7 linked regions of the Danio rerio genome follow. The protein of the gene in region 5 purifies or fractionates together with the protein of the main gene of each other region. This does not show direct contact. Links are inferred from orthologs where the notes say so. Each region holds a gene or a part of one and is shown on either strand. Other genes may lie near its edges.

Region 1 (3,882 bases), on a different chromosome or scaffold from region 5:
TTGTGATTTAATTATGTGAAGTTTTAGCGCGGTATTCTCAATATGAGAATAAATAAACGCACACAGTTAAAGTCAGAATTATTAGCCCCCCTGAATATTTGTCCTCCCCTGAATTATTAGACCCCCTGTTTATTTTTATTCCCAATTTTTGTTTAATGCAGAGAAGATTTATTTCAGCACATTTCTGCACATAATAGTTTTAATAACTCATCTTTAATAGCTGATTTAGTTTTCTCTTTGCCATGATGACAGTAAATATTATTTGACTAGATATTTTTCAAGACACTTCTATACAGCTTAAAGTGACATTTAAAGGCTAGTAATTCTGACTTCACCTGTGTATACAGGAATTAAAACATTGTAGTTTTTGATAGTCAGGGAGAAGAGATGTTGTGTGAGCTGTAAATGTGCGGTGTGTGTGTTGGTGTCCTTGCAGGAGTCTCATGAGCAGTGTGTGCAGTGGATCGTGCGCTTCATTCATGGTCAGCACAGCCCCAAACGCATCGCCTTCCTCTACGACTGTCTGGCCATGGCGGTGGAGACCAGCCTGCTGCCACCCAGGTACACACACACACACACACACACACACACACACACACACACACACACACACACACACACACACCATATTGCTAAGAACACTAGTAGAAATGCAACTCAACCCAGGACAAACAGCATGGTCTTTTCCATTTCTTAACAGTTAAACTAAAATGATTCAGACTTTAACCTCAACTAACTCCTATCCTAACAAAGCGTACATCAGCTGAAAGATGAGTTGTTCACCCTGTATAAATCTCAGTGTTAAAAAAAATTACACTTATGACTAGGACTGCACGAAATTGGAAAAATCTGACGTTGTAATATTTAGTTTCTCTGCGACATATATTGTGATATGAATACAATTTTACCAGATGACTTGACTAGCTCTATTTGGAAAAATTCATAGGTTTAAATTGATTGGGCTGATTTTATATAGCAGGGCTCGAAATTGCGACCATTTTGGTCACATATGCGCCCGAAAATTAATCTATGCGACCTCATAATGTATATGGGAGCATTAGTGCGACTGCTGATAATGGTTGTAGTGCGACCTATTTTGATTTTTTCTAAAAACGTGCTGAATCGCTCTTCCCTGCTGCCGCTATATTGGTTCATATTAGCTGTCAATCACGCAAGGTATTCCGCTGTCAGATGACAGGGAAGGAACTTTTATAACCACGGGAAATGCAAACGGCTTAAGAGTGAAGACTTAAAGCACGCAGGTTTGCAAACCCCACCTAAAGTTGAGGCGCAGATGAGAGATCATGACGTGGTAAATATTGATCCGCCAGCTGAGATCAATCGAGTACGTGCTTTTCGGAGAAAGCGATCGAATCTCGATGCGTTGCATTCACTGCGTGTTCAGTGCAAATGTCCGCTAAAAGTCAAATCTAATACTGTACATATCATCACCAAAGAAGCTCGCCTTTACTAAGTTTACACTAAAACTGTGGCTCATAACAAACAGCGGTAATCCGCCGGTGGTCACCGCAAGAATCCTGCTCAACCTGCTCATAAATTGGGTCGGCTGACTCGCCTGCTTTTCCACTAACACAGAAAAAAAAAAATCAGCTCAGACTGAACCTTTAAATTTACACAAACTGAAACTAAAACTTAAGAGTGATAGAAGTGAGACTTTACTTACTTTCTTTTGTCTATTCGTTCTTGAGGTGTATATATATATATATATATTTTATTTAGTTACTGATGACTGTTTTGCAGCTTTCAGCCTTGAATTTAATTATTTATTATAATCTTTTTTTTTTTGGTAGCAGAAATATTATTTATTAAACTGACATGCATATATAAACAGCAGTACAAAATAAATATTTCTTACTGCAGTGCTTAATTTTTGTTTGATGCAAACTATACATTTGTTTTTCATAAAGTAACAGACTTTTTATAGCAGAAAACTTGCATTCAAGCACATTCAAGGCAGCATGATGATGACAAATGTAATTCATTGTTACTATTATTGTCATTTTCATCATCATTAATATTTTATATTTATTCACCATTCATTTTGGAATTATTACACACAAATATCAATGTCATCTCAGCAATAGTTATAGTTGTTTCTGTTTTTTGTTAGTCCTAATGGATGTTGTTTTAAAATACAATAAATCCCTTAAAATACAATTTGCAGCGGTGCTTAATCATTTTTGGTGGGTGCTCCTAAATTTTTTCTGGTGCTCCTAAATATTTGAAGTTGGGAGCACCAGTGCTACCAAGTAAAAAAGTTAATTTCGAGCCCTGTATAGTAATAAAAAAAATCTACAGGGTAGGGTGGGCCATTTATACGGATACACCTTAATAAAATGGGAATGGTTGGTGATATTAGCGTCCTGTTTGTGGCACATTAGTATATGTGAAGGGGAAAACTTTTCAAGATGGGTGGTGACCATGGTGGCCATTTTGAAGTCGACCATCTTGGATCCAAATTTTGTTTTTTCAATAGGAAGAGGGTCATGTGACACATCAAACTTATTGGGAATTTTCCTGTGTGAATTGTAGCCTTAGTTTCCTGTTAATAGCTGAGCGAAGCGGCACCCGCTGTGGTCTTCTGCTGCTGTAGCTCATCTGCTTCAAGGTTGGACGTGTTGTGTGTTCAGAGATGCTCTTCTGCAGACCTCGGTTGTAACGAGTGCTTATTTGAGTTACTGACTATGTTTACATGGACATCAGTAATCGAATTATTTGCTTTAATCTAATTAAGACAATAATACGATTAAGGCGTTTACGTGAGTTGCTTTTTGAATGTTTCTTTCATGATCGCGTTTTACATGTTATAGCACATACTTAGATTGACGTCATTGCGTCACCGCACTATCCGCATTTCCTCCAGAGTTTCATGTAATTTCGGGTGTTTCATTATTAATTTGTCAACTTTAACTGCGGTTTGGCACTTTCACTTTCCCTCCGTGATAAAACGGATGCAACTATGAGCTGCTGGAAGACTGTTGTTTTAATGGAAGTTCATACCGCATGCTGAATGGAAGAAAAAAAAAGCTCCGCATTCCACGAGGCAGGTGTCTGTGGTCTGCACTGACTCGGTAGGTGCAAAGAGTGTCAAACAGCCATGTGTGTGTGTGTGTGTGTGCGTGTGAGTGCGCCCTACATGACGGTAATAATTCGATTAAGGTGTTTACATGTCTGTAATGCACTTTAATAATGCGACTAAAATCGGGATACTCCACATGTCTTAATTTTATTTGTCTTTAGTTCGATTATGACCTTAATCGAATTAAATTAATCAAAAATAGCTGTTTACATGGTCGACTCTTAATCAGGGTATTGTCTTAATCGCATTAAAATCGAATTATTGGTGCCCATGTAAACGTAGTCACCGTTGCCATTCTATCAGCTGGAACCAGTCTGGCCATTCTCCTCTGACCGCTGGCATCAGCAAGGCATTTGCGCCCACAGAACTGCCGCTCACTGGATATTTCCTCTTTGACGGACCATTCTCTGTAAACCCTAGAGATGGTTGTGTGTGAAAATCCCAGTAGATCAGCAGTTTCTGAAATACTCAGACCAGCCCATCTGGCAGCAACTACTATGCCACATTCAAAGTCACTTAAATCCCCTTTCTTCCCCATTCTGATGCTCAGTTTGAACTGCAGCAGATCGTCTTGACCATGTCTGCATGCTTAAATGCTTTGAGTTGCTGCCATGTGATTGGCTGATTAGAAATTTGTGTTAACAAGCAGTTGGACAGGTGTATCTAATAAAGTGGCCGGTAAGTGTATTTATTAATTGAACATATATATATATATATATATATATATATACAAATAACAAAAAAAATAGTGATGAAATGTTCGCTAACTCTCCTTAGTTTTT
Region 2 (4,349 bases), on a different chromosome or scaffold from region 5:
CTGCGACTGCGAGCTTCCTGTTAATCACATGACCTTTCACACGAAAACAATTTCAACTTTAATGAAATTTAGATTTTTTTTTCTTTTCAGTGAAAATGTTTAAATATTTAAGTACTAAAGCACCGTCAATAAAAATAATTAGTAAAATGCTAATAAAAACTATTTCAGCAAGGAAACGGATCACGACTGGCTGGTCTGAGTATTTCAGAAACTGCAGATTTACTGGGATTTTCATGCACAACCATCTCTAGGGTTTACAGAGAAAATATTTAGTGAGTGGCAGTTTTGTGGTCTTGTTGATGCCAGAGGTCATAGGAGAATGGCCAGACTGGTTCTTCTAACTGATGGAAGAAAGGCAACAGTAACTCAAATAACCACTCATTACAACCGAGGTATGCAGAAGAGCATCTCTGAACGCACAACACATCCAACCTTGAGTCGAATGGGCTACAGCATCAGAAGACCACACCGGGTGCCACTCCTGTCAGCTAAGAAAAGGAAACTGAGGCTACAATTGGCACAGGCTCACCAAAATGGAAAATAGAAGACTGGAAAAAACTATGCCTGGTCTGATGAACCTCGATTTCTGCTGTGACATTCGAATGGTATGGTCAGAATGTGGCATCAACAACTTCAGGCTAGTGATGGTGTAATGGTGTGGGGGATATTTTCTTGGCACACTTTATGATCTGTTATTGTGAACAAAAAAGAAAGAGTGTGTTTAAAGACTGTATAAAGAATAACAAAGTTTATTCCTTGAGCTTTTCATCATAACCAGAAAAAGAAGTCAAAAATCATCAACAATTGGCCCTTGTAAACATCAATCAACCGCACTGGTCCATATCAGATTCTCTAACACAGTTCAACATCACTTCATGTGTGCAAACATACATACAAACAAGCACACTCGCACACACACAACTGTTCTATCTCAGGCTGTTGCTGTTGGGTTGAGATCCAGTAACACCAGGATGATCAGGACTGTGTCGATTCTAAAAGAAAAGAGGGAACAGACCAAGACCTTTTAAATGCATTAACAAGACTAAATGGGGTGTACTTTAAATGTGACAGGTCCCAGCAATAAACAAGTAATTATTCTACAACATAATTAAGGTATCAAGTAGATTCTAGGGACATATTCTACACTGTGCAGACCATCGATTTGATTTTGAATGCCACTAACATTGAGCATTTAATATTGTGTTATAGGGATGCGCAATATTGGAAAAAATATATCTCTGCAATATATTTTACAATATGAATAAAATTTCACCAGATGACTGTCTCTATTTGGAAATAATTTATAAAATTAGATTCTTATAATTACTATTTTTAACATTTTTGGGGTCCTCTGGCACATTTTCATTGTGGTCTGTGCTATTTGCAGTGCATTTCTGTATTTGCATGTGTTGCGAGTATTTTCATGCACAACAATCTATAAATACAATCAAGAAAAAGATACAAATAAAGTGTTTTAATACAAATAAAGTGTGAGTCTAACAGTATTCAAGTAAAACTTGAATGATAAAAATAAAAAATAATTAAAAATTAATTGTTGTTAAAGTCACAAATGGTACAATTTCATATAGCTGAATGTTTTTAAAATCATTTATACAATCAGCGGCATCAAAAACACATGCAAATGTGCGATGTGACTATAGCGAATGATCACATTGTGATATTGATGCTGAAACAATATGTTGTGCAGCCCTAATGTGTTATATTTTAATATTATTTATAAAATGTTATACTGCAAAATACTGTCTTGTTTCCTATTGTGAATAACTTATCAGTTACTTAAATCAAGACACATTTATTGAGAAGCAAGATGTCTAAAGTAAGTTTGAAAATTTATTTAGTTTTAGTAAAAGATAAAAACAATGATTTTATTCAAATAAATTTAAGAAAAAAAATTAAATCACACACACATGCATACGGTTTAAAGCATAAATGAGTTGCAACCCTTTTGGAAAATTCCTATTTTTTTTAATCAATTTCTCTGTGAATCGTCAATATATTTTGGTGTTGTATCAAACTGTTATATTTATTCAAATTAAATTAAATCGCCTAACGCATTCAGGAATAGAGAGACAGAAAATTTGTACAAAAAGTTTCTCATTAAAGGTGCAGTAGGTGATCTGCCAAAATGCTAACCGGTTAGCATAATATCTTAGAAAACAGTCCCACCCCTATTTTTCAAAGCCACGCCTCCTGAAATCACAAACACGCACTGCAAAGATGACAGTAGACAGCCCACTAACTCTTGTCATTCGCCAGTTGAAAAACTTTACAATACTTTATTACTGTAAAGTACAAAATACTGTATTATATCCAGCATGTTTTCAGTCGTGTAGCAAGCAAAACTTGTCATAATGTGCAATATTTCATCCATACAAGGATCGTTGGTCTCACTCTCTCCCACGTTTTGTCCTAAAGCCACTACTGTATGCTTAGTGGTTGGCTGGCGGGTGCAGGAATTACACTTTCGTGCATATAACACATCCGTGAAACAACAGAATCTACATCAGCTTTGTGTGACTTAATAGTTTTAAAACAGAACATGACCTGTCTAAAAGAAATACTTCAGCCATGGTCTCGTTCTTCCTCCAGCATAAAAACTAACTTCAATATTGATTCAGGATTATAAAGTTTTGTTTCAGCATTTGTTTTTACTGGTCGCGCTCTCTCTCATGTGCACGTGAACGCACGTGCACACACAAACGGCAGATTTGCACGAATAGCAGCGCAGATGTACAAGTCTACATTTGTTGACAGACAGTTTGGGCTACTTATCAGAATTATGGGAATTAACATTTTTTAGTCTTATGACTTACCCAGAATACAAAAATACATGTAAATACATTTAGATCATTTAATTTAATCATTACTATAGGAATGTGAAGAGACTTTCAACCTGCACATCAAAAAATGTTTCTGTAGACAATCACCTACTGCACCTTTAATTAATTTGGCTGGTCTCATTTTTAGACCGTGATGTTAAGTCTTTTTGTTAGATCAGTTCCAGTCTTAGCTTTAGTACTGACTAATCTAAAGTATATATGCACAACTATATTAGTGTAAAATATTCATGTAAAAGAGGGCGCATTCATTAAGCTTACACATCCTTTTAAATGTAAAATAAACACAGTTTACTGTTGAAATAATATTTGTGTGAAGCAAAAATGATAAATAATTATAAAGAGCATTGTTCAAGGCTGCTCAGATGTTACACCAAAGCAAAGCTGCTTCCTATGTGTATACATTTTTAAAATTTTAATAACGCATTATTATTTATACAGGAACATCCTGTAGCATTCAACCTTGTTCAACAATACACTTTTTAATTATTGTAAATTTGTAAGATTCTGCGCCGCATCAACAAAGTGGCTCACCTTTTTTTTCTTCTTGTCTTTCTTTTTCTTCCTGCGTTCAGGTTCATTATCTTTCTTTTTCTTCTTCTTGGTGGGGTCAGTGCGGGTTTCTGCACAGGGAAAGGAAGTTAACATGCATGTGGTGCACAGAGGAAATAAAATGTGAAAATCCATGAGCTTTTGAAGTGACCTAGCGGTAGAGGATCCTGAGGGTGATGATGTCTGTGTTTGTGTTTGCTCTTCTTCTTTGGTGGCTGTATGTGCATCAGTCTGTACTGCTCAGGAAGCTGCAACACAAACCAACACTATAAAGATGAAGCTCAAAGAACACATTTAGATTGCTTTAGAAAATATGCTGTCTACATCTTGTTTAAAAGGGGACCAATTGTGCAAAAATCCCTTTTAAAATGGCTGATTTATACTTCTGCGTGATCGCAGTGATCCACGGTGCCTGCCTTGCGGGTAGTCGTGCATTTATACTACTGTATACATGCTGTTTGTGTTGCTCTGCAATAACACTTCCGTACACTTGCTGGCAGTAGGTTATGTTCCTCTGTGTCGAGTATCTTCATGGGTATTTCGTTTTTTCTGAACGCTACAAGTAGCTAAAACTCACTCATTAAGTGGCTGTTTAACTGGGAGAAAAATAAAGTGTCCATTCTAGTAATCTAAACAATGTGAATTTGATATGAATTATGTATATCTATTAATGTTAAAAAATAATTATTGCCATTTCAGAAGACTTCAGGATTAAAAGACGGAGAGTGAAAATAAAAATCTGATGGAAAACACATATAAACTGAGATTTACAAGTGCCACTGGCCTCTTTCTCTGGCTCAAAATGCTTCAAGCCACATTTAAACATTTGCTATCATTGTTCATTTGTAATGAGAGAGATAATAACAACTAAAAAAACTCCTCGATGGTGTTATCAAGACTTTTAGAAAAAGGAAAAAAATAGCGTGAGACTGATGACGG
Region 3 (4,571 bases), on a different chromosome or scaffold from region 5:
GTTTTGTTTTTGGAGTAGATCCACAGTTGCTTTATGACTTGAAAATCCTTTAAGATTATAAAAATATTTTTTTTAAATCAGCTTTGAAATGAAAAATGTTAGGCTTTCTCTTTGAACAATAACACTTGTGTATATGAAACTTAATAATATCAAAAGATTTAACATTAACAGGGGATTCTTATCTATATCTTTTTGATCTACGCATCTGACATCTCTTTTTCTTTAAATTAATTCTGTGACCACTTAGTATATTAAATAGACATTCAACATAAAGCCAGAAATATTTAACATATATACAATCAACAAACAAATGCATAAGAGTCTCAACATCCACTCCGCAAATAAACACAAATTCAGAAAGATCAACTTTTGATCATCTTTTGAGAAATTGGTTGGTTGGATATATTTTATGTATAATTTCACTTTATTAGTGACACAATACTTGTTGTTATAAGTCCAGATCAAGTTCCAATAGATATTCTCAGATTATTCCAAAAGTATTTGTGTCTAAAAGTGGCAAGATAATAAATCAAGCGTCTACAAAATTTATTATTACATTTTCTATCTTTGAAATCAACACCATGTAATTAAATCTCATTTTTAACTGTTAGTTTATTTGGTTCACTGTAACTCTGCAAAAGCCCCGCCAGGCCTTGTGGAGGCACAGGAACTAAACTTCTCAAAAAAATTCAGTAGCCTATAAGTCAGTAAATATCCTTCATCTTTTAAGCTGTGAGACCAATAGAACACCTTTTTAACCAAATTATCATGGAAAATAGATTTTTTTTTCTTATATTCCAAGTCACAAAATGTATTTTGTAGGCTACAAATATTACTACGAAAAAAAAAGGTGCAAATGCCTCATAAATACTTTTTTAAAATATTGCCTGAACTTTATTCGGCTTACTTATTTGTTTCTAAACATTTTGATATTCCGAGTAGTTGTACATTTTGTGGTGAGGATGATGAAACTTTAATACAATTATTTTGTATGTGTGAATTTGTTCAGAAATTTTGGTTTGACCTTTATCGTTATTAAACACTCCTCCTACCTTTGCACAATATTTTAGTTTAAAATAAAGTGTTTGTTATTACTCAGAATAAATCTGAAGAATTTGTTTTCAACTTTTTATCTTGTTTGGAAATATTTTATACAAATATGCATTGTTTCAGTCCCTACTTTTCGACATTTTCTCATTAAAGTTGACTCCTGCTCAAATCTTTGCGTACGTGTAACAACAACAAAAAATGTGTCAGATACTTGGCTCTACATGAAGAACTGTTGACTCTGATTTGAGTTAAATAGCTCTTAATTAATTTATTTTTATACAATTTTATACAAGTGTAATTTACTTACCCCTTACAAATGTAGTTTGTATTGTTCCTATTTTGTATCTCTCTTATATTGATCTCCTGATTGTGGTTGTAAGTTTTCATTCTTTATTATTTAAAAAAAAGGTGCAAATGTCGTGAAACACTTTTACGACAGCAGCACTGGTTTTATGGCAAAAATGGCGTCAGCGGTCTATGTCCGCATAAACAATGAGTAATGTGTTGTTTTTGGTAATCGCGCTCTAAAAAATCTTTTTATACTAATCATTTTCCAGATATTTCAGCGTCGTCTGAATTCTCGTTGTCCGTAATGGCTGGTGTTATGGAAACAGGTTTGTTAAAATTAGATTGAATTGTTATTTAGCACATCTTTGCCCACGAGATTCCTAGCAATGTGACAGTTAACGTAAATACAATTGTTTGGTAACGTATTTTAGTTTCGTTTTGATCATATTAAGTTATACAACGTTTTAGAGGTACTACACTATGTGTTATTTTCTGTACTGGCGCAGATATATGTTGTTCAAGCAATTTCTGTAACACTTAACATTAAGGTAGTATCGTCGTTAGCCAATGTTTGCTAACATGAACAAACAAGAATCGTTATATTTATTACAGTGTTTGTTCGTCTTTGTTAAAAGTATTAATGAAATAAAGTAATCTCAACTTACGGTGCATCAACTAATGTCAAGCATGAACTTGCATTTTAATTATGCACTAATACAAGTATTGTTCGTTGGTAGTTCATGAATACATTTACTAATGATTATTTGTATTATTTCTTTTCAAACACAAACATTGCTTACGCTTCTATTTGTGCTTTGACAGACGAGCAGGCGAGACAGCGCTTTCAGCTGGAGCTGGAGTTTGTTCAATGTCTGGCAAACCCAAACTACCTGAACTGTAAGAACAACGTTAACTCTTGTTTCTTTTTTACTGTTCGCTAAATTCAGTCATTACTTTAGTCATTGGTCAAATTCACTCATTGGTTGTTACATTCTGTAAATTCAAGGTAATTTTGTTACTGTGGTCGAAATATGAAGATGGATAATGATTATTAATCTTAATTTTTTCCCCCCATCCTGCAGTTCTGGCTCAGAGAGGTTACCTGAGAGAGAAGCCTTTCGTCAATTATTTAAAGTATCTGCTTTATTGGAAGGAACCAGAATATGCTAAATTTCTAAAGTAAGTAACATGTTGTTCTTGTTGAAATAGATTGTTAATTTGTCAAACATTTCTTCTTTGGATGATGAGTGCTTCTAATAAAAGCATGAAAGAAAGAAAGAAAGAAGGATATAAAATTTGTTCAATATCGTGTAGTTCTAGTGCATAATATTTATTAGTTATTTATTATTAGTTATTTATTAGTTAGTATTATTAATTATTTATTAGTTTACTAGTTATTTTGTAAAATACTATTATTCAGCTTAAAGTCCTGTTTAAAAAATTGACTAGCTCAATTAGGCTGGTCATTTGACAGCAGTTGTTTGTTTTGTAGACAGTCGAATATAAGAAGTTCTTAAGGGGGTGAAAAATATCGACCGTAACGTTTTAAGAAATTTATTCTTTTAATGCCACCAGAATAAAGAAATGAGACATTCTATATAAGTTAAAACGTAATAGTTTAGAATAGAAATATAAATATTTGTTTTGCTAAACATGACTTGGGAAAATATTTGAAAAGGAATTAAGAATTTTACAGGTGGTCTAATAATTTAGCTGTATATAGTTGTATTTAAAAATGTAAATTGAATTACAAGTTTAGTATGTGTGCCTAATCTGTATGGAACAAAATTAATGGCAAAAGTATTGAAATAAAAAGTTTGTTGATTAGCATTAACTGAAAAAAAATAATGCATTGAATAAGCAACTGCTTGCATTTTAATGACTTGAATTGCAAGAGTTTGTATTTTTAGGGCCTGAATTTTAACACGGCTGTTTATTTAAGCTGTGAATATTTCAACTAAAAATATTTTAAACATGTTTTTATACTTAAAATTTCAACAATTCATATTCAATTTCCAGATTTCATATATATATTAAAAGTTCAATTTTTAAATATATAATACTGGTGAAAAATATGAAGCATAATGTTCAAAATTTAACTTTCAGTTTGTTTACTTTTCAGTTTAAAATTTTGCTTCCAAAAATTCAGTGGTTTAAATTTGGCTCTTAAAATTCGACATTACTTCCGGGAACTGCAGGAACAGCAATAGATTGCAGATTGGCAATCTCCAGCTGCTTTTTCACTAGCAGGTGGACCAATTTAAGATTTTTAAACCATTAAATAAAGGTTTAAAAACTCCCTTTTTAAGGGAAAAAGCTAATAACAGCACAAAAGTAGCATTTAATATTGTCCTTGTTAAATTTTAACAGCCGAATTTGATCCACTAAATTAATGGAAGAGAACTTTTGAACTGAAATAAAGTGAGTTGAAAATTGTCTTTTGAATATTATACATGAAATCCGGAAATTAAGAATTATTATTTTTAAGTATAAAATAAGTATAAGAATTTTCAAGTATAAAAACGTGTTTGAAAAATTTTTAATTGAAATATTTACAGCTTAAATAAACAGCTGTGTTAAATTTCAAGACCTAAAATTACAAACTCTGGCAATCCAAGTCATTAAAATGCAAGCAGTTGTTAATTTAATATATTATTTGTTTCAGTTTGTGCTATTCAATACGTTTTTTTTTTGTTTTTGTTTTTTTTAACAATACTTTGATTTTGTTCCATAAATCTGCAGTTTACATAACCTAAACTATAAAGTTATATTATTTTATTTGTCAATATAAAGCAAAAACAGACAATATGGTGCCAAATTGTAGGTCGCTTACCATTAGTGCTGTGTGATACTGAACAGAAAAGATTTAAGCATTCTAAATAATTCAATGCAATATTTTATTAAAAATATCAAATCAATGAAATATTTCATATGATTTCAGGGAAAAGAGAACATCACTACAACTTCTGAAAGTGAACAGCCATGTTTAACAGAAACATTCATTCTTTCAATAAGAGATAAGCATTTACCGTCATTTCTACAAGCTCTGATAGGTTTACAGATGAAGCATAGCACACTGTTTCCTGCTGACTTCAAACATATTATCTTTGAAGCAACATGTGGTTTATAAATATGTAACTTTGGCAAGGCTCATAGTCATAACTTCTGGAAGGACGTACTCTCTTTTTCTCTGGGCCACTGTTGAGGTCTCCTGGAAACTTTTTGGCTTTGGC
Region 4 (4,513 bases), on a different chromosome or scaffold from region 5:
GAGGGATAGACATATGGAGGGATAGACAGAAGGACAGAAAGATGGATAGACAGATGGCTAGAAAGAGAGAGATGAAGGGATGGACAAACACAGGATTAGACAGACCAGACGAACAGAAAAATTGATAGAAAAATGGACAAAGATGGAAAGATAGACAGAAAGATGGACAGACGGATGAAGACAGAGGAAGGGATAGACAAACCGACAAAAATGGAAAGACAGACAGAGAGATAGAAAGAAGGAGGACAGAAAGATTGATAGACAGAGGGATAGAAAGACAGACAGATGGAGGGATAGACAAACAGAGGGTTAGACAGATGGACAGACAAATGGAGGGATAGACAGATGGGCAAAAAGACAGAAAAATAGAGAAATAAACAGATGGAGGGATAGACGGACACAAAAATGGATATACAGATGGAGGGATAGACAGACGAACAGAAAGATGGATAGACAGAGGGATAGACAGATGAAGGGATAGACAGAAGGACAGAAAGATGGATAGACAGAGGGATAGACAGATGAAGGGATAGACAGAAGGACAGAAAGATGGATAGACAGATGGCTAGAAAGAGAGAGATGAAGTGATGGACAGACACAGGATTTGACAGACCAGACAAACAGAAAAATTGATAGACAGATGGACAGACGGATGAAGACAGAGGAAGGGATAGACAAACCGACAAAGATGGAAGGACAGACAGAGAGATAGACAGATGGACAGAAAGATGGATAGACAGAAACAGACGAACGGAGACAGATGGAGGCATAGACAGATGGATAGAAAGATGGAGGAACAGACAGACAGATTGACGGATAGTTTGATAGACAGACATATAGATACACAAATAAACAGACAGAGAGACAGACACACAGTCAGTCAGATGAGAGACAGACAGACAGTTGGTAAAACAGGACAGACACAGACAGAGAGAGAGTCAGTGAGTGCAGCATTCACCCAGTCTGGTCGCCGGTGTCCTGCGCTCCTCCTCGGCTGTGTCCTGCAGCTCCTCCTGCTGTCTGCGGGCCTGCTCCAGGATCCTCCGGCTCAGCTTCTCATCCACGAACTCCTGCTGCTCCTCCTGCCCGCGGCCGCGCTGCTTCTGCCGGCCGCTGCAGCGCACTGAGTCCCGCTGGAGGATCTGCTCGGCCAGGGGCACCGCGCCGCCGCTCCAGGCCTTCTTCACCTTCGGCATGATGACGGTTATCAATATTAGTATTATCTGCCTGTCTGTCTGAGGAATTATGAGTGTGAAATCGCGTCTGAACACATGACGCGCCGCGGAGAGCTGCACACACGTGGGTCTGAGAGCAATGGCGCTGAGAGTGTGTGTGTATACATAGATATATGTCTGTAGTGCTGCTCTGAGAGCAGTTGGAGAGATGAGCGCTGTTTTGGAGCGCGCAGAACTACTGATCCCAGAGCGGCGCTGCGTCACACTGTTTACTTCCGCTCGAGGCTCGGCAGATCTCGGCTCTGTTCATTTTTAGCGCGGCTAATGTTTTTATATTACATGAATTTAATGATTGTTAATATTTTTATTTTATCGAATTTAAGTGTTTTACTTTTACTGATTTCGCGTGTTTCACGCAAACTCGAGTGATCCGGAAGTAAATACCCCGGCTTGCGGAAGTTTGTCTCGAAGAAATGGGTGTAACGTGGTGAGAAACACTTTTGTTTATAAAGTATTGTCCTCAAATAATTAATATTTTCAGTTGTGCTTGTTTTGAGTCTCTCTGGTGCTCCTGATGCTCCCGTTCAGCGCTGTTTGAATGCACAGAGAGGCTTTTGCTCCTCATTCATCAGTCTATTTATTGCTTTATACATGTTTACATCACATGTCACTCTTAAAAGTACTTTACAAAACTGTTATTAGTGTTGTGTAGAACACAATGAAGGCCTGTTATTATTATCAGGTGCACGTGTTCATTCAAACTAACATTTAAGATGAAATATAAGGATATTTGACGAGGTTTTCCCGAAGTTTTGTATAAAAAAAAGTGTAAGATTATCAGCTTCATTTACTGCAAACATATAAAAAAACATTTAACAAGTTTTGTAGTTTACAAGCACTCATTTAAGTAGTGTTCAGGGAGTCCGCGGGGTCTTAAAATTTATTAAAGTGCCCATGAAATGAAAACTAGCCTTGTTGTTGTTGTTAGCTCACAGTGCTAGTTCTGTGGTGAATAATTCATCTGTGCATATTATTGAGAAAATGTAATAGTTTGCCCTTCTAATCTTTAATTGAAATCTGAAAATGCTCTTCCTGTTTGTTTTCAGTTAAATTATCAGATGGTGTGTTTTTGAGAGAGGGGTCTGGCTGCAGACCTGGTGCAGATGCAATCTGAGCTGCATCCAATACTTTAAGCTGTGCTTACACTGGGCTTTTCTCACCATAGACTTCATTCATACACGCGAATGCGTCAGACTGGAAACGCAGGGTCATGCGTCAAGTTTCGCAGGTCACTTCAGTGCAAAGTTCAACCTTGGTGAAGTCGGACCTGCGAAATCACATCACTTGACTGCGGGAGACCAATCGAGGATCAACATGAGCTCTCTGGACAGAAATGAAACACATGCAGCAATCACTCGCTTTATTAATGCCTAATCATCTTGTTTAATCCCGCCCCTTTTCGCAGCGCCGTACGGCGGACTTTCGCACACGCAAGCTCTAGTGTGACTGCAGCTTTAATGTGCTCACCTAACCCCACCCCTCAAAGTGACCTCACTAGCTCAATTGTGTCCGACATTGCATCACTAAGAGATGCAATCTCAGCTTGCATCACAAAGGCTGCATCCAGATACTATTGGTTTTAGGCAATGGGCGGGGCTAACATTCATAACCACGCCCCTCCAGCTGTCAGTTTTGACAACAAACAGAAATGCTGAGCTGGGGTCCGTACGTTGCTTAAATGATCTTGATGATTTGGCAGATCCTTGATCTGTTCATCTTGATAACTGATCTCTGGCTAATTTGGTTCCTCAAACAGGTTCGTGAATTAGATTAAAATGTCTGGATGCACATCTGAGATCAGCGTGTGTTGTGAAGGGCAGATTTATCCATCCCCAAAATCATGATCAGCAATGCAGCGATTGGCTGACGGCACAGCAGCGCAATGACATCATCTGATCAATATTCAATTCTCCATGTGAGCAAAATTATTTAAAATTCTTAGTAAACGGTTTGTTAAATATGACACACAATAACTTCCCATGTTTGTTGTGAGCTGCAGGCTTTTTTACACATTCATGTGTCAAGAGTATTCAGCAATTTATTTTATTGTTAGAGCAGATTTTCCTTATTACAGTCGCCATATTAGTATTATAGTAGCCGGTTTCTTAATTGGTATAAAGATTAACAGGATGTTTAAATTAATTTTGCATCACAAAAGCATTTTACTATTGGTAAAGATGTCTGCAACTTTTTTGAAGGCATTAAATCCCAGTCATATTACCGAATACCTGCATGAATGTATTATTCCTTTATAAAAAAAGGTTGCATTAATTTTCTCTTTGATCCACCAGGTGGCAGTATTTGTACTTTTATTTCGGAGTGCAGATTGCATAAGTTTTATTTATATATATTTTAACTTATATATATATATATATAGTTAAAAAATATATTTACTATTTTCCCAAGTGTATATAACTATATAACTACTGTAATAAAAGATCAGAATTCGTTACATAGTTTCAGTATTATCTTTGCTTGAACTGAACCGATCTTATCCTGTTTATATGAAACAAGCTGCTGCTCCCCAGCAGGTTTGAGCTACCAGAACTATTGATAGGACAACAGCTCTCAGATGAGTTTTGAAGAGCGTAACGATCCTGGAACATGTCAAATCGTCAATAACCAAATCCGTTATATAATAACTGAGTAATGCATGTACGAAGAACGGACCCCTGGGGTTTGGTTTTCATAGGTGAATTACTCAAGTATATCAATCTATCTATATAGCTAGATAGACAGACATTACACATATGCACACACAGACTCGCACAATTATTTTTATTATTTATTTTTATTGATGTTTACACTGATCAGAATGATCTTGCTTTAGTAAACTACCATTTTGAAACTGTTTTTAATTGTAAATAAATTAAACGTCTCAAATGTGTGTGTGTTTGTGTCAGTGTTTGTCAGGTGCCAGTGGCCGAGGGTAAGAGCGTCCAGCAGACGGTGGATCTTCTCCACAGGAAGCTGGAGCAGCTGGGAGCCGTAAAACAGGGGAACTTCTGGGTGGACTGTGAGACGTATCACGCTACGGGAAATGCCACCGGTAAAAACACAACTCTTGGATTACTTAAACCAAATTCTGTTACAGATTAAAATAACATGACAAAATGTGTAGTCAGTAATATAAATCAGTTAGATTACACATTTATGGTAATGTATCCGGACTACTTTTTAAATTACATTTAGATTACTTTTGCGCTAACCCTTAGTTGATGTCACACATAGAATGAAAAGAATATAAGAAACGTATATTCACAGCATATTTATTATAA
Region 5 (4,661 bases):
ATATAGCTGGTTTTGGCTGGACTTTCAGCCTGGCTAGGCTGGTCAAGCTGGTTTTAGCTGGTCATCTCCCAGCCTGACCAGCTAAGACCAGGTTGGAAATGGCTGGAAACCAGCCTGGAAGTGGCCAAAAACCCTCTAAAACCAGCCAACCAGCCTAGGCTGGTTTAAGCTGGATTTTTCAGCAGGGATCACACTACACTTTGAACTTTATTAGTATTTTATTATGCCATTAAATGATTTTTGCTGTAAATATGCCTGCCAATATACAGTATGTGTATATAAACTATTATACAACGAGTTACGTTTTAGTGTGTGTCTTCTGTAAATCATGATAGACTAAGTATAAATAATAGTCATCGCTTTTATTGTTTTGTTTTTGCTCAAAAGAAATATAGTTAAACATGACACATTCTGCTGTACAAAAATACAATTTAAAGCTGTATCACACTCATTGATTTGATGTTTGGAATGCCTTTTAGACTTTTTTCAAATTAGTATTTAGCTATTATTATTAAGATTACTACTAGTAGTAGTGGTAGCATCAGTAATAATAAAGTTATTATTAGGTTCTTTCTAAATATATTTAGGGTTTGCATCACAAAGATAATTTCATCTCAACTGATGATTTGATGTTTGGAAATGCCTTTTAGCCTTTTTTGCAAATTAGTATTAAGCTATTATTATTCTTTAAATTATTAGTAAGTAGTAGTATAGTAATATCAGTATTATTAAACTTATTATTAGGTTCTTTCTGCATATATTCATGGTTTGGATCACAAAGATAATTTCACTCCTAATGCAGAAAAATTTAATCATTATTTTACCATTTTTATGTAATTTTTTAAACAGTACGTTTTTGATTGAGGGTGCGTTTTATTTGCAATGATGTTTATATCTACCTTTGCAATTAAACATGATTTTTAAAAGTTACTTGCAATATGTTTTTTTCAATATTTGTTATATTGATTATGGTGAGGCAGTTTACATTATAATTACTATATGATAAATCAGCTTAGGGAAATTTTTAATTGTTTAATTATGCTGTTTTCAAATAGTCTATAAGACACTCTTATTGTCACTCTTATGTCCCCTTTGCTTCACATGCACCAACCACTGCACTAAGGTTCCACAGTGAATAATAAACATTGGTAAATAAGTACATTCAATCAGTACCCCACAAGAACACACATTACACCATTTATGGCTAGATATTGATGAAATATTACTTGTTGAGATTTATTAAATAATTTTTTTATTAATTAATTTGAACCTTTATTATTCAGGGGTCGCCACAGTGGAATGAACCAACAACTTATCCAGCATATGTTTTACATAGCAGACGCTCTTCCAGCCGCAACTCAACACCGGGAAAAACCCATATACTCATGCATTCATACACTTATACTACGGCCAATTTAGCTTTTTCAATTCAACTATAGTGCATGTATTCAGACTGTTGGGGAAGCTGGAGCACCTGGAGGAAACCCACATAAACATGGGGAGAACATGCAAAACAAATGTAGGGGGGCACATTTTATGATTGATTTATTACAAGGGACCCCAAGCACCCAAAAATAAGGGTAAACCATTTTTCCCTCCTAAAACTAAAAATCATGCCATAGAGGGTTAAAATGCAAAACATGCTATAAAACTGAAAAACAAATCCATTCCTAAACAAAGGGTTAAAATCCACGTGGTGCGCCACAAAGCCTCGACGTCTGTGGGCTTGGGAACGGTTTCACGACGCTTTGCGACACTGCCGTACGTGGACGCTCAACTCTCCCGGGTGAGATACCGGCTGAGCGGCGCAGTTGCACAGAAATATCAAAGAAAGCGACTGTTAGTCCAATAACACTCTGCACTTTGTGTCGGATCAAAAGCACACTCGCTCTACACGTCGTTTCAGCCGCCCGTGATCGCTCGCGGTAAATGAGGACTCTTTAATCGAGCTCAGAGCGACGCGAGGGAAGGCAACTAATTGTCTAAACGGGGCTTGAAGTAAGTTGCCTCCCCAGCGGCGCTTTAAAGGGAAGCCACAGCCCGGATCCCCAGAATCACGCCGAAAATGGACTATGACTTCAAAGTGAAGCTCACCGGGGAGAGAGAACGAGTCGAGGACCTCTTTGAGTACGAAGGATGTAAAGTTGGACGGGGGACTTATGGCCATGTGTACAAAGCGAAGAGGAAAGATGGGTGAGTTTTGCACGACGGACTTAAATGCAGCGATATGAGGCCTGCGCTCCCGTCGCGTTTTTGACCTCTGAAACACAACCAAAACACACCGAGCGCTTTTGCCCATTGGTTCGGGGTTTTAGAGAGACACGGCAGCTGATGTGAGATTGATATGCAGGGTTCACGGTTTAAACGCAGGCTTATTTTGAAGGGATTGTGGATGTACGTCAGCAGCAGCAGGCACAAGTGTTGTGATTGACGAGGCTGTGCTGTTGTGATGGGAACAGGTGCGGCTGATTTGTGGGTTTTTTCTTCGTGATGATGAAGACGAAGATACTTTTTACGAAGGCTTGTTTACACCGGTAAACCCGAAGCCTCAATGGAGCATTTCTGCTACAGATTGACTCCTGGTATTAGTGGCTCTGATGTTGATGCATGTTTTATGTCAGTGGTTCTCAAAGTGGGGTTCGCCGGACAATGACAGGGTGTCGCTTGCGGATTTCCAAAAGTCAAATAAATTTATTAAACTCTTACAGGATATCCGCAAAGTCTTAATTGTCAAAAGCAAAATTTTAGCCCCTAAACAGTCTTAAATCTACTGAAATGTTGTGTTTTGTAGGTCTCAAATCTATTTTAACAGGTCTTAATTTTCTTTGTTCATGTATAGTTAACCGATCTAGCCATTAACATCAATGCAATCACCAACAATCCACATCAATTAAACGTAAACTTTTAATTTAAAAATAGCATTTAATTACTTTCTTTACAGTAACATACATTTGATTAAAAGTTCTCCATTTATTTACTGCTGAGGATACTGACCTGGCCTACATATTTCTATTATTATTTATTACTATAGACTGAAGTAATTGACAGCTATGTTTTGTTCTGTTCTTGGTAAGGGTTATAGGGTTTGTGAATGGATAGATTTGACAATTAATACAAAAATAATAAAACACAATTATTATTATTGTATGTTTAAATGTATACAATTTTCATCATTTTTGATAGGGCTAGAGAAAATTTCATTCATAATGGTCTTAAAAATGTCTTAAAGTCTACAATTTAACTTGGTGAAACCTTCTATTAGAATTACCGTAATTAACCATAACCCACAGAAGATAAAAATAGTAGGTTATTGTTACATAAAAAAGCAACAACATGCAAATAAAAAGCCATCAGCCTTTTAATTTTTTCTTGTTGGATTGGTGCGTTTATTTTAGATGAACACAACAGTAATAGCATCAGCTGCAGCAGATTGATTTCATATCACCACCTTGATCTTGACATATCTCTGACTCTGACAATTTTGTGGCAATTGAATACATTAAAATATATACAGGCTACTGACAGGCTGGTCTCCAAAATTAAACCAAGAACAGACTTGTGCTTAAAAACACCGGTCTCATTAGGTGAGGTTAGTATTAAACACATTCATAAATGACCATATAAATTATAGCCTATGGTTGTTAGACTGTTGCAGTTTTTTGTGTTGTCAATATGCTCGTGTTTAACAAGGCCTATTGTTGTGTGTACAACGTTTGTATATTTATAACCACCTCCGATGAATCTGGGGATCATGAGCATTGAGGGAAAGTGTCAACTTGTTGTGACATGCTCCCTATAGTGTTTACCATCAAAATTTTAATATTCGGTCTGAAATCACATGCAATTATTACTTGAAAACAACATTAGCACTATTTATATGACTTTGAACAATGTTGTTTCTTGATAGTCTTTGGCTGCTAATATGATATTACCATTTAGATTTTGCAAAGAATATTTTTGTAAAATTATAATATTAAGGAGAAGTCAGAATGTGCGAATATAAAACCTACTTGACCTCAATGTTGCAGGCTTTGTTATTTTGGGGGACGCTGGCTGAAAAGTTTGGTAACCCCTGTTTTATGTAGATAAAATGTTGCATCATTGTGTTTGTCATGCAGAGAATTCGAAATAAGGTCATGTTTCACTAAAATGAAGTAGGTGATAGTTCCTAAAATAAAATTCTGCCATCGTTTACTCAACCTTTACTTGTTAGAAACATTTTTTTTCAGTTGCACACAAAAAGAAGATATTTTGAAACATGTTGGAAACCAATAGATTTTTTTCGTACTATTGATTATAAGTGTCTACGTTCTAGGCATGGGTCAGTATATTTTTCTGATGTATGATAAACTTGTATAAAAATAGCACAGTTTAAAAGTATTGTGATTACTGCTCTAAATATATTATTTTTAAATGTCTGGCTAAAAACTTTTTTCCCCTTTGAACACAATATATTTTAATTTGGGAAACATTTACAAGATTTATGAGCAGTAAACAAATCAGGGTAAATAATTCAAATCAATTATTGACTTCCAGGGATGCTTCTATCAGGATTTTTGCAGCCATTACAGTGAACCAATTCTGATGCTTCAAGATTTATATTGCATAAAGCACATTTTCCCTCTAAATTTGGTCCTTACCTAAGAGAATAAATTAAGGAG
Region 6 (4,372 bases), on a different chromosome or scaffold from region 5:
ATTATCGCAATTTCAGTTTTTCCCATTATCATACAGCCCTAATGTGAACATCACTTTTTTTGATATCAATTTTAGTTTGATATATTATACAGCCCTAGTCTTCAGCATTTTACTGATAATGTAGTGCACATGATGATGGCATCCCTTAAAAATGCAGTGTCATTAGTTTTGTTGTACTGGAAAGAACTCTGCACAAATTAATGTAGACTGATAAACTATTATATTTTTAACTATATGATATTCACGACTATGTAAGTCTTATGATCCCTTCTTTGCTAATAAAGGACTATAGGGACATTCTAAGCACAGAATGAGTCATCTGGGTGAGGTAGAGTTCCTTCACATCTCACATCTCCAATACTTTGCTTTCCACCAAACACAATTTATCTACTTGTGATCTCCTTTTATGTCATTCTGTCACATTAAGTGTCATTTGATGTTTTCTAATGAATGATTAATCTACTAATGTTTAGTTATGACCCGAGGATAATATTGCATACTTTATAATGCATATTTACATCTCCCCCTCTTTATCTCCTCACATTTCAGCTGGTTTTGGGGAATGGTATTTCACTCATGCCTAGAAATGTATCTGTTGTTCTCTGTCTTTGCTGCATAGCAGAGCAAAAATCAAAACTAAGCTTTTTTGTATACATTATGTTTAGGGTAGCATATCATATTGTTTGAGCATCAATATCACAGTGTGTGTGTCCGCAACAGTCAAATTGCAGGATTAAATTATTTATTAAAGAGTTAAAGATAAATTATTAAATATTATTTTTTAATAATTATTGAAATGATGACCATGTTATTTTATGCTTGATTGTTCAATTTCTGTACCTGAAATACTGTTAAACTTTCCAGAAAATTACAAAGTATGGTTTATTTAACTTTTTTTCTGGCTCTATTGTGTGTGTGTGTGTGTGTGTGTGTGTGTGTGTGTGTGTGTGTGTGTGTGTGTGTGTGTGTGTGTGTGTATATATATATATATATATATACACACACACACACAAAGAGTTTAGAAACAAAAACCTCTAAATACTGTCTGAAATTGTCCTCTAAAATGTGCATTTTTAATCAGGCTCCTGTGTGTATGTTCAGTAATACCAATTTTATGGCAAAGAACAAGACCTTTTCTTGGTCTTTAAAGTGAAATATCTCAACATAAACAAAGAAAGCTGAAAAAAAAAATTCAAACTTTTGATAAACATTTCAGACGGCACTCAGAGGTTTTTCCATCTGAATATATATAAAATAATTTATGTATATGCAGTGCATAGAAAAAGACCTGATCATCATATTATCTAAATGAATAAAATCTTTCTAAATAGAGCTATTCAATTCACCTGGTGAAATTGTACTCTTATCGCTATATATATTACAGAAAACAAAAAATATTGCAATGTCTCATATTTTCAATATTGTGCAGCCCTAATAATGTTGATATATTTCATTCTACTGTCTGTATATTAAAACATGTAACTTAACATGAAATGTTCTTTCTTTTACAGCTTTAAGATTATCTCTCTTTATCAGTGATGTTAATAACTTTAACAGTGTTTGATTAATTATGGTGGAGTCAGACAAATAATTGATTATTACACACCATCCTTCAACTGCTTTCTGTTCTGATAATCTTTATAAATAGTGCTGTGTTCAAAGATTTTTCTTGTATTTACATTTCAAAAAAAGTCATTTTAAAATACCTTAAGCAAGCTGATTAAACCCTCAAAAGCAGATTTGTGATTTCATAGAACAAGTTCAAGAACTCACATTTGCTCCCTCATCTTTTTGAAGTCGTCAAAGAGCTGCAGGGCCACAGAAAGACCCTCAGCTATAAGACTGCAGCTCTCTGCTCCACCTCCCATGAACCTGTGCAACAACAAAAAAAAACTGTTAAAACTGTTCTCAGTATTTCAATCACAATATCTTTAAAGCAGACATTCACTTAAAACCTTTATCCCAGACTTCCTGACATAAAATAGGATTACAATGGGATTCCTTACTGAATGCTGTCAATCCAAGACACAAACTCGAAGGCAGAGCTGGTTGGAGCATGGCACTGGACATATGACTCTGGAGCACAATCCACTGTGTTGAATACCACCAGTCCATACTGAGTGCCACCATACTTATAAAACAAACAAGATCATCAGAATTGAGATGGCAGAAATGTAAAGAGAAGGTATAAACAGACTCCTCCAACTCACATCTCCTCCAAAATCAGTTTCAGCCGGTGGTCCTCCATTAAAATACCTGTAAATATATTAAATAAGTCAGTTCAAGTGTCTAACAAATGTACTGTATTGTAATGAATGTCATAAATCTTACTCTATAGTAGGCAGTATGTAATTATTCCGAAGTGATTCAAAATATGGACCAAGGTTTGCAGTTCCTTCAATGACAAACACCACATCTGACACCTGATTCAACCCAGATTTGGACGTGGGGTCCATATGGGTCACCTTTGGTCTACAGCCAACACAGATATAAGATCAAACTCATATAGAAGATTTGCTGGAATAAAACGAAATATTAATGTTTTATAATGTTTTATTGATGAATGACTTTATATTGGTGTTATTTGCTATTATTTTAACATTATTTCCATTCTAAATGCAAGTAAACCAAACCAAGACATACATATTTGGCTGTCTTAATACCTAACGTTAGTAATACACATAAACAATTTTTTTTAACTGAATCATTCATTATGTCCGTGCCAAAAAGCCTAAGAGACTTATTTTAGATGTGATATATTTGTCTTATCATTACCTAATTAACGAGTAAATTCTTAAAAACACAATATCAATACAAATAAATTAAAATGTAAAACGTGAACACTATCCATTCATACAGGTCTTAGCATGCTAGCCGCTAACCTCAAATGCTAATTTAGCTCGGGTGTCTTACCTGCTAGAATTAGTAGAACTGGCTTTTACTGTGAATAAAACAAACCGGTTCAGTCATTTATCTTGATTATATCCGAACCAGCCCCTGGTAGTTTTATTGTGTATTAAAGCTTCATCTGAAAGTAAATGTAGAGCGTAATGACAACAAACATCGGGATTTTTGGCTCGGCAATCGACAGTACGGTCTGGTTTTAGATCTTGAAAGTGGACTGGGCTGGTGAATCGATTTATGAATGATCAATTTAGAAACCAACAGCAGCGACGTCCTTTTCAGTCGTCATTCTTTGTTATTATCATCCTTATTATAATCATTGTTATTTTTGCGGTTTAAACACGGACATAGCCATTGTATTGTTAGATAATAAAAAAATAAAATAAAATAAAGCTTAAGAAAGTAAGTGGCTTCGTCGATGATCATAACAAATTGCATCATCTTTATTATTATCAATGATTATCATTACAAATTATTGTTATTAATTATTATTATTATTATTTAAAAGTTTTCTGAAACAAAATGGGCATTTTAAGGAATATATTTAAAATTGCCTTAAATAAATTAATTATTTAAATGTTTTCAATGATGGTAAATAATTATAATCAATATTATTTTAAGGCATAATAATAAATACAATTATTATTAATTATTATTACCAATTATTATTATTGGTGATATATCATTGATATTATTCTTATCATTATTATCTATTATTATTATTATTGTAATTATCTAAAGGCTTATCTAAAATGACCATAATTATTTTAAGAAATAATAACAAGACTTTTTTATTGTTACCAATTTTCTTTATTATTGTTGTTGGTATTAATATTAACTATTATCATTAATTAGAATTACCATTTTTATTATTATTATTATCATGTATTCTTTTTCTTTTTCTTCTTCTTATTATTATTATCATGTTATCTTCTTCTTATTATTATTATTATTATTATTATTATTATATAAAAGTTTTTTAAGCAAAATGGGCATGATTCAGTTTAAAGAATCGGCCTATAATCAAAATCATATTAAATAAATTCATTATTTAAACGTTTTCAATAATAGTAAATAATTATAATTATTATTATTATTTTAAGGCATAAAAATAATAACAACAATTATTATTACCAATTATTATTATTGTTGGTATATCATTAATATTATTCTTATCATGATTAGTTATTATTATTTTTCATTCATTTATTTTCTTGTCGGCTTAGTCCCATTATTAATCTGGGGTCGCCACAGCGGAATGAACCGCCAACTTATCCAGCAAGTTTTTATGCAGCAGATGCCCTTCCAGCCACAACCCATCTCTGGAAAGATCCACACACACACACATTCACACACACACACACTACGGACAATTTAGCCTACCCAATTCACCTGTACCGCATGTCTTTGGACTGTGGGGGAAACCGGAGCACCCGGAAGAAACCCACGCGAACGCAGGGAGAACATG
Region 7 (3,882 bases), on a different chromosome or scaffold from region 5:
TATTTATAATATAAAACCTTTCCTGTTGATTTTCCTAAATTGCTACTTATTTAAATACTATGTTAAACTATATTGTGAAATATATTGTTACCATGAAATTACATCCTACACAGTAAAGTAGAATCGTCACCCACCTCTAGCTACAAGTAAACCATTATTTTAATTTTACATTTGTTTTTTTAATAGGTGGTTTGCTCCATTTTTAGAGATAAAGCAAGTTGATTAAATCCGAGACAAAATCACAGTATAAATAAAAACTTATCAGAGACTAAGGACTAAGTCTTTCATCATCTAAACCGATTTATCAACTGCCAATTTATTCTGAATAGAACATGCTTCCAGTCAATTAAACAGTCAATTAAAACTGCACACATATTATGTTTTGTCATATTTTGAATCCCGTGACATTAAAAATGGTACATCATTTTAACCTTTTCCATGAATTGTCTTTTTATTTAATTAGTCTTTACCAGGACAGCAGCACTGTTATTTCCTAAATGGTGATGCTCCAGTACAAGATGGAAGGTCTCTTCAAGGAGCTTTGGTTTCCAAGATTCCCTTCAGACATCCTGCTCAGGTGCCTGCTCTCCTTGACATTATAAGACATCAGGCTGCTTACAACACGTTGATTGGCAGTTGCGTTAAAAAGGCCTGCATTAAGGAAGGTGGGTTTCTTTCATACTATGTGTGACTGTAGGTGTTTGCAAAAGAAAACTTCTATTTGCACTTTTTTAATCTGTATAGCCATTTTTGCACATTGCAAAAACCCTGCGCTTTCTGAATTTGCAGTGTACTTTTCAAGAAATGTATCGAGCTAAACAAGGTAACCACATACGATTTTGTTAGTTTCCGTCATTGGATTAAGGATATTAGCCCCTTTCACACAGTGATACCGGTAAATTTCTGGAAAATTTCCGGAAAAGAGCATTCACGCATCCATTCCAAAATACCGGTAAATTCTGACATCATTCACCACAAATGAGCTTTAAATGGCTGCACTTGTATTTGTAAACATTTGACTAAATTACAAACTCTGTGGATGATCAATATTGTGAACAACTTTCGCAGGATCACTTTCGTTTATCAAGATGTTCATAATATGTGCGTGTGCAGGCGCTCATAGGCGCACGCAAAGCTTGAAGGTAAACAAACAACGGCTTATCATAAGCATTTCATCGATGATTATTTACACAGTTGGCATTAAGAAGAACATATAAACGTGATCTGACTAACTTCTAGCAGCTAAATGTGTCTGGAAAAATATTCAAAGGCTTTTATCCTCACAAACCGCGCGGACGTAAATGCGTCTGACTGTTGTGATTGGCTAAAGCAGACGTCTCACGTCAGCACGCTCTAGACGTGCACGCGCTTATTACGTGAATCTTCCTTCTGCATTCACACAGCGCAGCATTCCGGCAAATTGCCGGTAATGTTAAAACTTCTCTTTCCGGAAAATAGCCAGAACGAATTTACCGGTATTTTCAAAAAGGACCTGTTCACACATACAACCTCTGTATGTGTGAAAGAGGCTATAGCCTAGTCTTTGCCAGTTTTTGTAATGATGATACATACATTATATGCTATTTATGTGCGCGGGGAAGTATAGGGTGGTGCGTTCAGTGCAGAAAGTCCAGGATTCATGCGTAGTGAGGTACCGTTCAAGGGTCGGGATGGGAGAGGATTCATTATGAAATCATGCCGGCCATCTGCCTCAACAGCATCAGTTGTGTACTCCTCTTTCAGTGAGCTGCAGCAGTCCCCTGATCGGCACAAGTGGTGTGCTGATTGGGGTGAGGGAGCCATCTCTATGGCAGTGCTGACTACACACTGACAGAAGAGTTAATCATAACACTTTTGACCAAGCCGTTACCAGTTTGATGACCTGTTGTCTCGTGTCGGTAGGAGGATTTTCCTTCAGGACACCAACTACAGGCAGTACTTCATAATCGCACCACTACTAGAGTAAGCTCCTGATTGGGTAACACGGCGTGATTGGTTAACATGGCGTGAACTTGAGAGATTTGTGGGAATTACACGTTAAGAGGACCAAACACTGAAATGCTCAGTTTCCGTTGTGTCATTTGATTGAATTAAATGCTTAACTCTTCATCTGATCTGCATCTTGTGTGAACACATCGTTAGAATATGGCCTTGAGTGTGGATGTTGCTTGAGTTGATGAGGTCTATGTGTGTGAATTTTTAGCAATATCATTGATCTTTGACCAACTACACTAAATTCAAATTGGATTATTGGCTGTGATTTTATTTTTATTTTTTTTATTATCTTTGTTTTAGATCCTGCCGTTGACAGTTTTCCATTATGTTCAGATACCTCTTTCTAATTTTACTGTTGTTTTCTAAGATCTCATTTACTGCTTGGTTCTTGCTAATATCTGGAGATTAAGATACCCGTTGGACAAACAGTATATTTTCTTTTCACATGTCCAAAAATCATATTCCAGGATAGACTTTTTTTTTAGTTTAGTCCAAAACTATTCCTTGTGTTAAAAGAATGAAACATCATAATACATCAATGTCTGACCATTCTGCAGTCACAATCTCTGTAGATCTAGCCAAAATTAAGCCTGGCTTTGTATTTAACAGAGCTGCTTGCTGAGTTTCTTAAATTCAATGACATCGGTGAGGTTCCCAGTTTATTGTTATGTGAAAGCTTAAAAGCAGTTCTAAGATGAAACGTATCTTATGAGTCCAGTTTTAAGAAACAAAGGGAAAACGTCTTGTAGAATTTGATAACCGGTTAGATATATACAGGGGTTCTTTAGATTTGGATAGGTTTAAAGAAATTACTACACTCAAAGTGGAATATAATTTAATTCTTTCTAACCAAGTTAACAATATGTTGTTACAAGTTAAACAAAAGCAATTTGAAATTGGGGATACACCTTAAAAATTGCTTTCTTGTAAGCTTATGGTAATTCAAGCCACTAGTGCTATCCATAAAAAAAATTAAAAACAGGGCTGATATTCCTTTAACAAATCTTACATGACCTGGCCCAGATGGCTTTAGTATAAATTTTTCATTAAAAAAATCCCCTTTGCTGTTAAGGATACTTAACCATTAATTTAATGAGCATAGGCTCCCCGAATCCCTTTCATGCGGCAAACATTTATTTAATTCTAAAAAATAATAATAATAAAAAAAATACTTGCTAATAGATTAAACTATTGCTTAGGAAAAAATATTCATCCTGACCAATCTGGATTTTTTCCTGGTTGTTTTTCTTTTATGTTCTCTTCTTTCTTTTATTTTTTTTAATGTCAGGCAGATAAGTATTTTGTACACCAAATCTGATTCTAAAATCAGTCTTTCAATTCTTGCATTGGTTGCAAAAAAAGCATTTGACCAAATGGAGTGCGACTATATCTTGTGATGTGATTAGAGAGTCTAATTTGGGTGACATATGCATTTTTTTGGGTAAGGATTTTCTTTTTACTTGATCATCTCAGTTCCAGTCACATAGAGGCACCTGTTGTGCTCTTTCATCACTGCTTTTTAAAATTGAGCCCCTCACCCTTGCTATCAAAAAAGAATCCCTTGATTTTGCCCCAAAAAATAGGTCAAATGAACCATAGTATTTCTCTTCATTCAGATGATATTATTTTATATCTCTATTCTCTATAACCCCAAACAATCTGCACCTCTGTTAATAGCTATTTAAGAAACATCTGGAAAATTCTCTGGATACTCATTAAACTGGCAAAAAATAAATACATTTTCACAGTGACTAATATTATTGATTTAAATGTATAAATAAATTTACCTATTTAAAATAGCCACAAATAGTTTAAAATATATTTATTTGTAAATATCTCTAGAAATCTCAAAGAAATATAAGAATTTAACACTCAAATAAAATTACA

The links.
Region 1: the proteins of cdk8 (region 5) and med23 purify together in Homo sapiens (affinity purification with mass spectrometry; 10 studies listed by BioGRID and IntAct, counting the BioPlex papers as one, with this or other methods). This does not show direct contact. The link is inferred for Danio rerio from reciprocal best matches to the Homo sapiens genes CDK8 and MED23.
Region 2: the proteins of cdk8 (region 5) and med19a purify together in Homo sapiens (affinity purification with mass spectrometry; 8 studies listed by BioGRID and IntAct, counting the BioPlex papers as one, with this or other methods). This does not show direct contact. The link is inferred for Danio rerio from reciprocal best matches to the Homo sapiens genes CDK8 and MED19.
Region 3: the proteins of cdk8 (region 5) and med31 purify together in Homo sapiens (affinity purification with mass spectrometry; 7 studies listed by BioGRID and IntAct, with this or other methods). This does not show direct contact. The link is inferred for Danio rerio from reciprocal best matches to the Homo sapiens genes CDK8 and MED31.
Region 4: the proteins of cdk8 (region 5) and med20 purify together in Homo sapiens (affinity purification with mass spectrometry; 8 studies listed by BioGRID and IntAct, counting the BioPlex papers as one, with this or other methods). This does not show direct contact. The link is inferred for Danio rerio from reciprocal best matches to the Homo sapiens genes CDK8 and MED20.
Region 6: the proteins of cdk8 (region 5) and med25 purify together in Homo sapiens (affinity purification with mass spectrometry; 8 studies listed by BioGRID and IntAct, counting the BioPlex papers as one, with this or other methods). This does not show direct contact. The link is inferred for Danio rerio from reciprocal best matches to the Homo sapiens genes CDK8 and MED25.
Region 7: the proteins of cdk8 (region 5) and med1 purify together in Homo sapiens (affinity purification with mass spectrometry; 14 studies listed by BioGRID and IntAct, counting the BioPlex papers as one, with this or other methods). This does not show direct contact. The link is inferred for Danio rerio from reciprocal best matches to the Homo sapiens genes CDK8 and MED1.

Annotation. Positions count from the first base shown.
Region 1 is NC_133195.1:2,665,576-2,669,457, reverse strand, and holds part of med23 (mediator of RNA polymerase II transcription subunit 23), read left to right. Parts: intron 1-436; coding exon 437-561; intron 562-3,882. UniProt on the Homo sapiens protein: Required for transcriptional activation subsequent to the assembly of the pre-initiation complex. Component of the Mediator complex, a coactivator involved in the regulated transcription of nearly all RNA polymerase II-dependent genes.
Region 2 is NC_133189.1:26,390,694-26,395,042, forward strand, and holds the end of med19a (mediator of RNA polymerase II transcription subunit 19-A), read right to left. Parts: intron 3,659-4,349; coding exon 3,562-3,658; intron 3,482-3,561; coding exon 3,393-3,481; intron 993-3,392; coding exon 927-992; 3' UTR 734-926; downstream 1-733. UniProt on the Homo sapiens protein: Component of the Mediator complex, a coactivator involved in the regulated transcription of nearly all RNA polymerase II-dependent genes.
Region 3 is NC_133196.1:43,308,182-43,312,752, reverse strand, and holds the start of med31 (mediator of RNA polymerase II transcription subunit 31), read left to right. Parts: upstream 1-1,502; 5' UTR 1,503-1,642; coding exon 1,643-1,664; intron 1,665-2,160; coding exon 2,161-2,235; intron 2,236-2,420; coding exon 2,421-2,517; intron 2,518-4,571. UniProt on the Homo sapiens protein: Component of the Mediator complex, a coactivator involved in the regulated transcription of nearly all RNA polymerase II-dependent genes.
Region 4 is NC_133197.1:573,908-578,420, forward strand, and holds the start of med20 (mediator of RNA polymerase II transcription subunit 20), read left to right. Parts: upstream 1-1,422; 5' UTR 1,423-1,648; coding exon 1,649-1,662; intron 1,663-2,991; exon of another isoform or gene 2,992-3,150; intron 3,151-4,138; coding exon 4,139-4,284; intron 4,285-4,513. UniProt on the Homo sapiens protein: Component of the Mediator complex, a coactivator involved in the regulated transcription of nearly all RNA polymerase II-dependent genes.
Region 5 is NC_133199.1:25,393,139-25,397,799, forward strand, and holds the start of cdk8 (cyclin-dependent kinase 8), read left to right. Parts: upstream 1-1,740; 5' UTR 1,741-2,065; coding exon 2,066-2,193; intron 2,194-4,661.
Region 6 is NC_133178.1:29,272,418-29,276,789, forward strand, and holds the start of med25 (mediator of RNA polymerase II transcription subunit 25), read right to left. Parts: upstream 3,093-4,372; 5' UTR 2,914-3,092; intron 2,518-2,913; 5' UTR 2,457-2,517; coding exon 2,332-2,456; intron 2,257-2,331; coding exon 2,211-2,256; intron 2,132-2,210; coding exon 2,007-2,131; intron 1,873-2,006; coding exon 1,774-1,872; intron 1-1,773. UniProt on the Homo sapiens protein: Component of the Mediator complex, a coactivator involved in the regulated transcription of nearly all RNA polymerase II-dependent genes.
Region 7 is NC_133187.1:16,873,964-16,877,845, forward strand, and holds part of med1 (mediator of RNA polymerase II transcription subunit 1), read left to right. Parts: intron 1-463; coding exon 464-665; intron 666-3,882. UniProt on the Homo sapiens protein: Component of the Mediator complex, a coactivator involved in the regulated transcription of nearly all RNA polymerase II-dependent genes.